Linked DNA regions of Pelodiscus sinensis. The protein of the gene in region 1 interacts with the protein of each later gene in a pairwise test. Links are inferred from orthologs where the notes say so. Each region holds a gene or a part of one and is shown in the gene's direction. Other genes may lie near its edges. The genes, in order: DISC1, PPM1E and MEMO1.

Region 1 (3,747 bases):
GCAAGCTTAATTTTTGCATTTACTAGCTTTGAAGTACTCAGTAGCAACCTTAATGTTATTTTAGCATATACTTTTCGGATGTAATATACGTGTGATGTGCAAAGCTGTGTTGTATATGAGTGTGTAATATATATATATATGTGTGTGTGTGTAGTGTTGTCAACTCTTACAATTTTATTTGTGAGTTGTGTTACCATTTGTTTTCCTTGAAGACGGAGAAGCTGGAATTTATGCTTAAATAAAAAAATCTCTAGTTGTGGAGAAAAGTTTGAAAATATGCTCCAAGTGCACACTAAAGACTCAAAACCCAGAAAGCCAATAAAACCATATGAGACATACACACAGGGCTCAAAAACATAAAGCCAATAAAACCGTCTCTCTCTCACACCCACAACACTTTTTCTTAAAAAAATCATATTGAATCAAATCTTATGCTTTTTGAACTCTTGAGGCTGCATGTGAGTGTATATATGTGTATATGTGTGGGTGTGTAGTGTACATGTGGTGTAAACATGCAATGCATGGGATTGTATATGTGGAGTAAGATATATTCCTATATGTAGATCGATGGTGTGTATGTGTCAGGTGTGGATGCATATGGAAATGAGGTGGTGTGGGGTGCACGTGCTGGTGTGGGGAATATCGGCGGTGTGTGTGCATCTCTATCTGTGGGCCGTGTAGCTGTGATGAGGCAGTGAGAGGCGGGGGGCCGGCGGCTCTGGGAGCCCGTGAGGGGAGAAGGGTTTGGCTGCGTGTGCAGGGGGCCGGGCTGGGGCGTGGCTCGCGGAGACCGTTTGTCGCGGCCGGTAGGGCCAGGCGGGGGCGCTGCGGGGCCGCCTCTGGGCCTGGGGCCGGCGGCGGCAGCGAGTCCGCGGCGGAGGATGTGGTGCGGCGCCAGCGGCGAGAGGCGGCCCGGGCGCGCAGGGCTGAGCCCAGGTGAGCGCAGCCGCGAGCTCGGGGCGCGTTACCGGCCGGTGCCCGCCCGAGGGGCGAGCGCAGCAGCCCGGCCTCGGCCCCGCGCCGCCTTGGGAGCCGTTAGCTCGGGGGTGCCAGGCGCGGAGCCGGGGCGGGGCGGCGGCAGGCAGGGGCCGTGGGGCTGCGCTTGCACCCGGCAGCCAGGGCCGCGCTGTGCTCGGCGCTGTGCAAGCGGGGAGCCCCAAGGGACCGGATCAGCCTGGGGGCGCCCAGCCCCACGCTGGTTAGCGAGCCTGGGTGAGTGGCTGGGCAGGGTAGGGTCGGGGTGACTCGAGGGGCGGGTTGGCCGCTGCTTTTCAGCAGTCATGGAGATCAGGACTTTTTTTTTTAAAACTTGGCGTTTGTCCCCCTGTTCTTGCCTTGGAGGGGAAGGGGGATGAGGAATGTTTGAGCAAAAGCAAGTGGGACAAATATCCAGATTTTCCAAAACAAGTTGTGATGTCTATAATCAGCTGGGCAGAGTGGCCACACCAGGTGGTTCTGGTCTGATGAGCTACCTGGAGTCACTACTTACCCAGCATCCCGTTTTCAGTTTAGAAAAATATGGTGACCTTAGTTCTGGGTCCTTCTGCCAGGGCTGGATAGTGTCCATGAGGCTTCCATCTGGGAGGGCTCCTCTTGCTCTAATGTTCTTTTCTTCTTGAGCAGACTAGAGAAGCACTATCAACACCCTCAAATCCCTGCCCCCCAAACAAAACAAAAAAACCCCACCCAACCTAATAGAAACCAGATTGGATATTTTAGCTCAGCTGCTCATGGTAGATGGCTTTGATTTTAAGGGAAATTGTCCTCTGCTTAAATATGAACTATCCAAATAATTTTAAAAATATAAATATTAAAATAAATTATGTTCATTATATTCTTCTTTGTACAGTACTTGTAATGGCTTTTCTGCTAATCTGCCTATGAATCTGTTGCATTTCTAAAACAAATTTATCCATGAACTGTTTGTTCTCCCGCTGAGTGTTCTAAATAAAGAATACCTGGTCTTTACCATGTGTGGATCTCAAAACATAATGGCTGTGTCTAGACTGGCATGATTTTGCGGAAATACTTTTAACGGAAAAGTTTTTCCGTTAAAAGTATTTCCGCAAAAGAGCGTCTAGATTGGCACGGATGCTTTTGCGCAAAAAGTGCTTTTGCGCAAAAGCATCCGTGCCCAGTATAGACACGCTTTTGTGCAAGAAAGCTCCGATGGCCATTTTAGCGCAAAAAATTAAGATGACTGTATACACTGGCCCGCGCAAGAGGGCTTATCCCTGAGCGGGAGCGTCAAAGTGTTTGCGCAAGAAGCACTGAATTCTTACATTAGAATGTCAGTACTCTTGCGCAAATTCTCGTGGCCAGTGTACACAGGCAGCAAGTTTTTGCCAGTCTAGACGCACCCAATGGATATTACTGTATTAAACAATTTAAGCCTCAGTATTCTTGTGGGTTATTATTCCCATTGTGTGGATGGATCTTTAGTTTGTTTCACTATGTTCTGTGTAATCAGCTGGTCAGTTTCTCTGTTTGTTTGTATGAAAGTTAAGGAGAGAGCAATATTTTTCAAAGCAGGAAAAGATGCCATTGTAAAACAACAACAAATTGACAAGAGACTTCATAAACAGCATGCCTGCATCTAGACTGGCAAGTTTTTCCGCAAAAGCAGCTGCTTTTGTGGAAAAACTTGCCAGCTGTCTACACTGACCGCTTGAATTTCCGCAAGAACACTGATGATCTCATGTAAGATTGTCAGTGTTCTTGCAGAAATACTATGCTGCTCCTGTTCGAGCAAAAGCCCTCTTGTGCAAATGCTTTTGCACAAGAGGGCCAGTGTAAACAACATGGTATTGTTTTGCGCAAAAAAGCCCCGATCGCAAAAATGGCCCATAGTTATAGTCCTAACAATCCCAGGAGATTAGAGTTGGATATGAGAATCTTTTATTGAACCAACTTTTGTTGGAGAGAGAGTTGGCTTTTGAGCCACACTGAGCTCCTCTTCAGGTCTTCACACCAAAAGCTTCTCTTTGTCACCAAGAGAAGGGACTGGTGTAAGGTCAGAAATTGCCCTTGAATAATTAATATGCTGGTGTCCCTTTAAACATGAAGTAGCTTCTTCCCCCTTTTTTCTCCTGCAGCCCTAGTTCAGCTGCTCCTTCCTCTCATGTTGTAGATGAAATAAAATATTCGTGGTCAGCCTGCTGTTGAGCCTGATGATGGCCTACCAACTTCCAGCTGTGTTTGCCCCGCCAGTTAGCTCTGTGATACTTGAGTACACCTGTGGGAGTGCATATTGGCAAGCCTAGCTGTCTCCTATGGGAATGCAGTGGTTATGATCTTTCACAGGCCCCAAAATGACATGAAATTTTAGTAGGGCACCACTGTATTTGTTTTTATTGCTTTTGTTCAACCAGAAAGCCTGACAGTTTTGAAATATTATTACAAAATATACAATACAGAACTTATTATGTGTGTGGAAAAGTTTCCAGCACTCTTGGAAAAAATATTTTGGCTCTGCAATTAGAGGCCTACATTTTAAGCACAGTGATGTCAGTAGTTAAAATCCACAAATAAGGCAAGCAAACTTAAACTGCAGTAGAGATGGTAGCTTTTCTTTTTAAAGCCTTGCCTACATTAAAAAGTTTGATAAGTTTAAGACAAATGTCTTTTGATTTAAAGTACTAAAAACAAATGATGATCCTATGGGAGCAAGTGTCAGATTTTTACAGGTTTCTCCTTAGTTTAGTTTATGGGAACATGGTAACTACAGAACTGGAAAAACTATAAAGA
Region 2 (3,747 bases), on another chromosome or scaffold:
CAGCTTTTAATCTGGCTCTCCCCAAGCATTGGCTCCTGCCTGCTCCCTTTGGCAGGCAGGTCCACGGAGCCATCTTCCCATGCATATAGGCTCCAGTCTGCACCCCTCAATCTCCACCTCCATCAGAGTGCAGGGGTGGGGCAGGCAGATGCTGTGCTGGTGGGAAGCCTGCTTAAAGACAGCTCATGGGCAGCAAGGGGGGTGAACTGATAAACCCAGGCTATCCATCAGTTATTCATTTACTCAACTACCCACTAACATCCATACTCTGGATTGCATTTTGCTAGATTTACAACAATGTTGGTTTACTGTCTTGATCACCTAGAAGTGAAAGGCGAGTACAACACCCTCTGATTTCCTGGCATATCCACGTCGATGGCCCTATTAAACTGATCACATACTAGAGATGTGTGGTCTAGTTTCTCGTGAAGTTATAAACACACAAAGCAGTGGGATAAACGTGCTCGTCTCCGGGATGTTCGTAACACACCTACCAGTCAGACCGCTCTGATGGAAGGTTGCAACTGGGACACGCTTCATTCTCAGCACGCTCGCTCACCCCGGCACCCATAACACAGGGAGCGGAAAAAACAGGCTGCTCCCAAGAGCCCTCGGGCACAAGCCCCCCTTCGCCCCTTTGTTTTAAGCTGGTTCTTGTCAGGTGGCCTGCTGCTGGGCCCGCGCTGCGCGCACACAGCCCTGCGGCCAAGGCGAGGGACACCCTCTGAGCACTTACCCGCGTCTGCCTCGCGCCTCTCTGCCTGCAGCATGGGGGCCGGGGCGGGGGGGTGCTCGGGCAGCTTGTGCACGAACGAGCATCCGCCCCTCTCTCTGGTGATCTGTCAGGGAGTGTCCGTCGGTCCATCCCTCCGCCTGCGGCTCCGTCTCCCTCTTTTCGTGGGTGGGTGGGGGAGGGACAGAGCAGCTTCAGCCTCGCGCCAAGTCCGCGCGCTTTCATGCCTCGGCCCCTCCCCCTCCCCTGTGACGCGTAGTCTCTCAGCTCCCTGAGGGCCGGTGGGTTTTTTTTTTTTTTTTTTTTCCCGCGCGGCGCACGAGCCTCCACTCCCCCTCCTCCCCTCGCTCCCTGCGCCGCTCCCCGCTGCCCACCCTGCCCCCGCCGCGTGCGCGCCCCCGCGGGGCCGGCTCGGGAGAGCGCGCGCAGGGAGGGAGGTTGGCCGGCCGGTAGGCGGGTAGGGAGCTCTCTGCGGGCGCAGTGCTGATCCGCCGGCAGGCAAGCCGGGAATGCGAAGCGATGGCCGCCGGCGGCTTGGGCAGCAGCGCTGAGGAGAAGACCTACCGCCGCTTCCTGGAGCTCTTCCTGGGCGAGTTCCGCGGGCCCTTCGGGGCCGAGCCGGCCCCCGCGCCCCCCGCCGTCGGGGCAGAAGGGGAAGGGGCAGCGGCCACCCCCGGGGAGGCGGAGGAGAGCGACGCCGGGGACCCCCAGCCTCCCACCCCTCCGCCACCGCTGCCGCCGCTGCCCCGGCCGCTCTCCGAGCACATCATCGAGGAGGAGGTGGAGGGCGAGTGCCTGGACCTCTGCCTGCAGCAGCTCTACAAGTAGTGAGTGCCGGGCTGGGGGACCTCGGGGGCTCTGGAGGGGCAGGGCAGGGCGGGGCAGGGCTGACCGGGAGGGGGGAGGTAGGGCAGACCGATCTGGGGTGGGGGGCAGGGCAGACCAGGCTGAGGGGGGCACGACGGACCGGGCTGGGGAGCTCTGGGGAGGGGCAGGGCGGACTTGAAGGGGCAGGCGTGTGGGCTCTGGAAGAGGCAGTGGGACCAGGGAATAATGGCCATGGCTTGAAGGGGCAGAGGGAGCACTGAGTGGTTAGGGGCCACAAGGGAAGCGTGGGGGACAGGCCACTTTTGGTGTTGAGATGCCTAGGAGAGGTCAGCAGGGAGAGACCCATGGCCGTCTCTTCCTGTTTTATCCCCCCCCCCCATTCCTTTTGTCTCGTTCCCTCCATCGTGCTGGGACAGGGGAGCTAGTTGAAGCCCTGGGCATCCCTCTCTAGAGCAGCTTGGGTCATGTCTTACGTTCTGGTGCCAGAGCAGGAAGGATTCTGCCATTCTGCGTCTGAAACTGACTGTTCCCAGCAGGAGGTTTGTAAATGTGGAATCAACTGCCAAGAAGTTAGTTTCTAATGCAAGAAAAGAAAAAAAGAGGCAATATGAAGAGGCAACATAAGGAGAAGGCTCCCAGTGATGTTGGGGCTATTTGTCCTGTCAGAGAGAGAGAGAGAGGAAAACCATGTACATCGTGGTTTTTGCTGGGCAGGGGCAATTTCCAGATCTGTGCTTTGTAAAGGACTAGAACATAAAGGGAACACATAAGGGACATATTCCCAGTGTGGAAAGGTCTGCGGACTGGAATCTAAAGATCAGTTATTCGTCCTATGTATTGTGTTTGACTGTGTAGGTTTGAAATAGGCATGGTTGTTAATGGTGAGTCTTTCAAAAAGGACCTTGCAAAACTGATGCTATAGGAGGAGACAGATGAACCTGTGAAAATATGCACAGCAGGCTGGGGAGCTTTCTGACATTGAGCTGTTAATTGTAATGAAAGGTGTTACTCCATTGCGGGCACACACACTCACACAGAAAAGCAAGTTTTACAACTACATGATCTGCTTCTCTTAAATTCTGATCTGACTTCTGCATTTGTGGATGACAGGGACAGCAGAACATGGGCCTTCAAGGACAAAGCTTTTCCATTCACACGCCTTTTTAAATATCTTTTTAAAAGCCAGACTTGTGCATGGAGCAAAAGGAAAATAAATCTCAATAGGATGTGAGAAATGGGAACAGATTTATTTGCCTTTTGGTAGAAGTACATGGAGTATAACAAATTATTGTGGGTCCAATTCTGTAAACCTGCACTACACTTGAATTCTTCATTTAAGTCAGTGCTTGAAGAACTGGGCTCTATGGCACAATTTGTGTCTCTCTCTTTTCAGATTAAGCAGGCAAGAGCATAAAAAAAAAACAGTATGAAGGGATCTCTCTGTCATGGAGTGGTCTTCTGCTGCTTTTTCACCTTTGTGCATATCTATGGGTTTTTGAATTAATTGCTTTATAGATTTGGTTTTGTTCCTGGTGACGGCAACACAAAATCTCCTTATAGCTTCCTGTTTCATGAAGCAGAAGGCAGCATCTGCCTCAAAACCAAGGGAATACAGAGATTATGCTATTACAATAGTCCTCTGTCTGAGGAGGTGTTACGCAGAGTTTTAATTGTTAAGCCTCCCATTTTTGCAAATAGAATTTCTGTATTAGATTATGCAATCATAACCATAGACTTACACAACTAGGTGTTTTATACTCAACTATGTAAGCTAGCATTTAAAATAAAATGCAATTTCTGAAAGTCTTGAATGATTTTCAGATGTAGGTGGTACTTTTTTTAGTATCTTAGCAAAAAACCATAGATTCTTTTCAACAAACGAATGTATATAAAACAACAAATCAAAGTGGAATGATTTCCACTTGCAAGCTAAATGCTCAATTCTGCAGTTGCTTACAGAGTTGAGTAGCTATAGTGATTTTAGTAAAGTTACTTGCACAAATGATTAAACTGAACATGAAAATAAAAATGAAGTGGTATCTTTTACTACTGTCTCACTGGCAAGGAAGTAAATGTTGTCAAAGCATGTTTTCTGTGACTATAACTATATAGTAGTTAAATGACTGGCTTGCATAATGTGCAGTCAAGACCCACTACTGTGCAAAATTCAGCAGCTGTTTTTCAGT
Region 3 (3,747 bases), about 10 Mb from region 1:
TCAGTTGGGAGGTGTTTTTGTGCAGCCCCAACTGATTTTTCTGTGGGTCAGCACCCCCTCCCCATCCCAAAAAGGGAAGGCTTCTGGGGTAAAAAGAGCACCCCGCACCCCCAAAAGGGAAGGCTTTTGTGGGTCAGCACCTCCCCCCCCCAGGCAAGGCCTCTGGGGTACAACGGTGACCGAAGAGGACCTCTGCTAGTGCCACTGCTAGGCCCTTGGGGCTGAAGCGGGGCGGGCTGCTGCCCCCGTGCAGGCGGGCAGGGGGGAGCGTTGCCGGGGCCGCACAGGGCCTCGCTTTCCGGCCTGCCTGGGCAACACAGGGCGAGCAGGGCCCCACAGGCCGGCCAAGTAGCTCTGGTTGGGGCGGGGCTTAGCCCGGCAGCTCCGCTCTCCCTCCCCCACCCACTTCTCCCGTGGTCTCGCTCCCCCAGGGTGCGCCCAGCTTCCCCACGCGCCCCTGCCCGCTAATCTGCCCTGCTGCCACCACAGAGACACCAGCCCGCCAATCAGCGAGGCCAGAAGCCATCACCACGGCAACCCTGCTGCTGTCCAATCCATACGGGTCCTGCCTGTGGTCTTTTACCTCCCTCCCCTCGTTCCGCTCCCCTCCAGCGGCGCGGTCCAATTGCAGGCCTGGTCGGTTCTGTAGGGCGGGGGGAAACGGGGAGAGAAAGGGCATCCAATCGTGGCCGGGCTTTTGCTTTCGTCACCCAATGGCGAGCCACTTGGCCCGCTTCTGGGCCCTCCCCTTTCCACGGGAGACGAGCAGGGCCAAACCCGGCTGCCGCGGCCTCCCCTCGCCCGAGAGCGCGGAGTAGCCGGCTCTTGCCTCGGGCTTTGTCCCAGGCTTCCCCCCTCCCGGGTTCGTGTCCGCGGCCGAGCCCGCGCCTACCCCTCGCAGCGCTTCCCCGTTCACCGCCCGGGTCCGCGGCGCCTCCGGCAGCACTGCCCGCCCCCCCTCGCGGGGGCTCGGGCTCTGCCGGGGGAGGAGGGGGGATTAGCGCTGCCGCCGCGGCCGGGCCCGTCTCCTGCCCCCTCCCCCCCGAACACCATAGGCGGCTCAGGCACCAAGATGTCCAACCGAGTGCTCTGCCGGGAGGCCAGCCACGCCGGCAGCTGGTACACAGCCTCAGGTAGCGGGGCCGGCCGGGCGCAGCCCCGGCCACCGGGGGGTGGAGGGGAGAAGGTGGGTGGCTGGGGCAGGGGGGCAGGGGGTTAGTGGGGCCGGGGAGCGCTGCAGGGTGCTACCGCCGCGGGCCGGAGCAGCTGCGGCCCCCGCGGGGATGTGCGGTGCGCGCCCGGCAGCTGCGGCCCTGGCCGGGAGGTCGGACTCGGAGGCCTTTTCCCAGCCCCGCGCCGGCTCTAGGGGCCCGGCTGAAGCCGGAGGCTGAGTCAGCGTTTTCCACCCCGGAGGGGCGGGTCGGCGTCGCGGCGACTCATCCTTGCGCCGGCCGTAGGGCCCCTTCCTTCCTCCCCGGGGTAGGGAGTTGCAGGCCCCGCCTCCGGTGCTGATATTGGGGCCTGTGCGGGGCACATGGCTGTAGCAGTGGCAGTTCCTTCCCAGGCTGCGGGCGCCCCCCTTCGTGCACACACCTCGGCCCCTGAGCCGGCGAGCCCGTAAGGCTGCACGTGCACTAAGTACCCTTATCCCAAATGAATGAGCTTTAAAACTGTGCAGCAAATCCCCGAGTGCGCCTGACGAGCAAGTTGTCTGGTAAAATAGGACTGGAATGATTCATTGTGCTGCCAGTGGCCTGGGCAATGTCGCCCCCAAAGCATTTAAGACAGTGCAGTGTGGTATGGCTAGGAAAGGGACATGCAAATTGACCCTATAGGAAAGTAGAAATTGCTATTCAAAATCAGACCAATGATCAGTATAGTTCAGAGCATATCTTCTGGTAGTGTTGGAGGATGCTGGGTACTTTACCAGTGTGAGAAACTGTATAGTGTTCAATTATGGACAATTATGGAATTACTAGCTGGTAAGAGGTTAGTCAAACAACTTTCTAATATGGAGATGTGTTATAACATGAAATAATGAAAGCCCTATTTAAACGTAGCTAAGGTATACTAAACGCATAGGTAAATGCTCAGGATGTAATGTGGTGCATGAATCTAAATGGACTAGGAGACTGTAGAACAGAAGAATATGCTGATGGCAAATCCTGTACTTGCTTGGGTGGCTGGATGACTTACTATATTTTCCTTTTCCTTTCTATCTGGGGAATGTTCTGTATTATCTGAAAATATTCTATTGAGTAATTCATCGAGTAATTCATTTAAAAAAGCCAAACAATATATTTGTTTGGCCCACAAAACTCTGCAGTTTTACTGGGGTAATGGCATAATGTAACCAAACATTTTCTCCTAGGTTGCTTTTGCGGAAAAACTTGCCAGCTGACTACACTGGCCGCTTGAATTTCCGCAAGAACACTGACTTCTTACTGTCTGAAATCAGTGCTTCTTGCAGAAATACTATACTGCTCCTGTTTGGGCAAAAGTCCTTTTGCGCAAAGCTTTTGCGCAAAAGGGCCAGTGTAGACAGCTGAGATTTGTTTTCTGCAAAAAAGCCCCGATCGCGGAAAAGCGTCCTTGTCAATCTAGATGCTCTTTTCCGCAAATGCTTTTAACGGAAAACCTCTTCCGTTAAAAGCATTTGGGGAAAATCATGCCAGTCTGGACATAGCCCTAATGTAGTAATAAAACTGGGTTACGTAGGTTGGGGATGCCTCTGCATCTCCTTCATATGAAACTTGGATATGCTTGCAAAGTGGAATATGTAAATGAATAGGCATAGCCTCTTGCTTCATAAAGTTGTTATCTTATACACATTATCTCACTGCTTAATTCTAATAGCTGATATGAAAACTCACAATGTAAGTGGATCATTAATTTTTTTTATAACTTGTGGCTTCTAAGTCCATTGTTTCTCTTCTCCCATCTCTTACTGAAAACCACTATTAAGATTGATAATGTAGAAACTCACTCTAAGCTATAGACTAGCTTTTATTTTTATGTTGATGCAATAATGCAAAACTTAAAATATTCTGATAAAATTTAATATTGTAAAAAGAGTAGTAATATTTTCTGCACATACACATCCTAATAACCCACAGTAAAGTTTGATGAAATAGATGTTCTATAGTAGCTAGAATCAGGGATCCTGTGGTACAAGCAAGGTACCATAGCAGAGTTTTGGCTGCATTAAAAAGAATCCTACAGGGTGAAAAACAGCATTTGTATTGCTGCTGTTTCTCCACCTAGCACGTTTTTAATAACATCGTGGGATAAGAGTAAAATGAAGCTCAACTGATCCTCCTGTATTTTTCCATTTCTTTCTGCTGGCCCTTTGGGAGAAATGGAGGGTGCAGATCCTGAGCTCATGGTGCAGGACTGATATGGTGAGAGACATTAATAATGTGTCTCTAATCCAATCTGTTATTGCACATTGCTTCTCATTGTTAGCAGTAAAGTGATAGACAGTGATCTGGTCAGTTTCATGCTGCTTCTGCTGGCACTTCAAAAATGTCTGCCTTCCCTGACAATCACCTGTTCTTTGCCATCACATATATGGCACAGAACAGGTGATTGTCAGGGAAGGCAGACAAGTTTGAACTGGACAAAAGGAAGCCTGATCTTGAGAACAAATTCTGACACATGCTTTTTGTAATGTTGAGGTCTTGGATAATTGAGGAGAGAAGACACAAAGATCAGGGAAATATAAGAGGAGGGAGCGATAGTGATATG

The links.
Region 2: the proteins of DISC1 (region 1) and PPM1E interact in a two-hybrid assay, tested with the Homo sapiens proteins (2 studies listed by BioGRID and IntAct). The link is inferred for Pelodiscus sinensis from reciprocal best matches to the Homo sapiens genes DISC1 and PPM1E.
Region 3: the proteins of DISC1 (region 1) and MEMO1 interact in a two-hybrid assay, tested with the Homo sapiens proteins (2 studies listed by BioGRID and IntAct). The link is inferred for Pelodiscus sinensis from reciprocal best matches to the Homo sapiens genes DISC1 and MEMO1.

The regions. Positions count from the first base shown.
Region 1 is NC_134713.1:124,059,214-124,062,960, forward strand, and holds the start of DISC1 (disrupted in schizophrenia 1 protein), read left to right. Parts: upstream 1-796; 5' UTR 797-881; coding exon 882-936; intron 937-992; exon of another isoform or gene 993-1,212; intron 1,213-3,747. UniProt on the Homo sapiens protein: Involved in the regulation of multiple aspects of embryonic and adult neurogenesis. Required for neural progenitor proliferation in the ventrical/subventrical zone during embryonic brain development and in the adult dentate gyrus of the hippocampus.
Region 2 is NC_134731.1:5,128,384-5,132,130, forward strand, and holds the start of PPM1E (protein phosphatase 1E), read left to right. Parts: upstream 1-1,069; 5' UTR 1,070-1,252; coding exon 1,253-1,560; intron 1,561-3,747. UniProt on the Homo sapiens protein: Protein phosphatase that inactivates multifunctional CaM kinases such as CAMK4 and CAMK2. Dephosphorylates and inactivates PAK. May play a role in the inhibition of actin fiber stress breakdown and in morphological changes driven by TNK2/CDC42.
Region 3 is NC_134713.1:134,287,847-134,291,593, reverse strand, and holds the start of MEMO1 (protein MEMO1), read left to right. Parts: upstream 1-993; 5' UTR 994-1,072; coding exon of another isoform or gene 1,073-1,133; intron 1,134-3,747. UniProt on the Homo sapiens protein: May control cell migration by relaying extracellular chemotactic signals to the microtubule cytoskeleton. Mediator of ERBB2 signaling.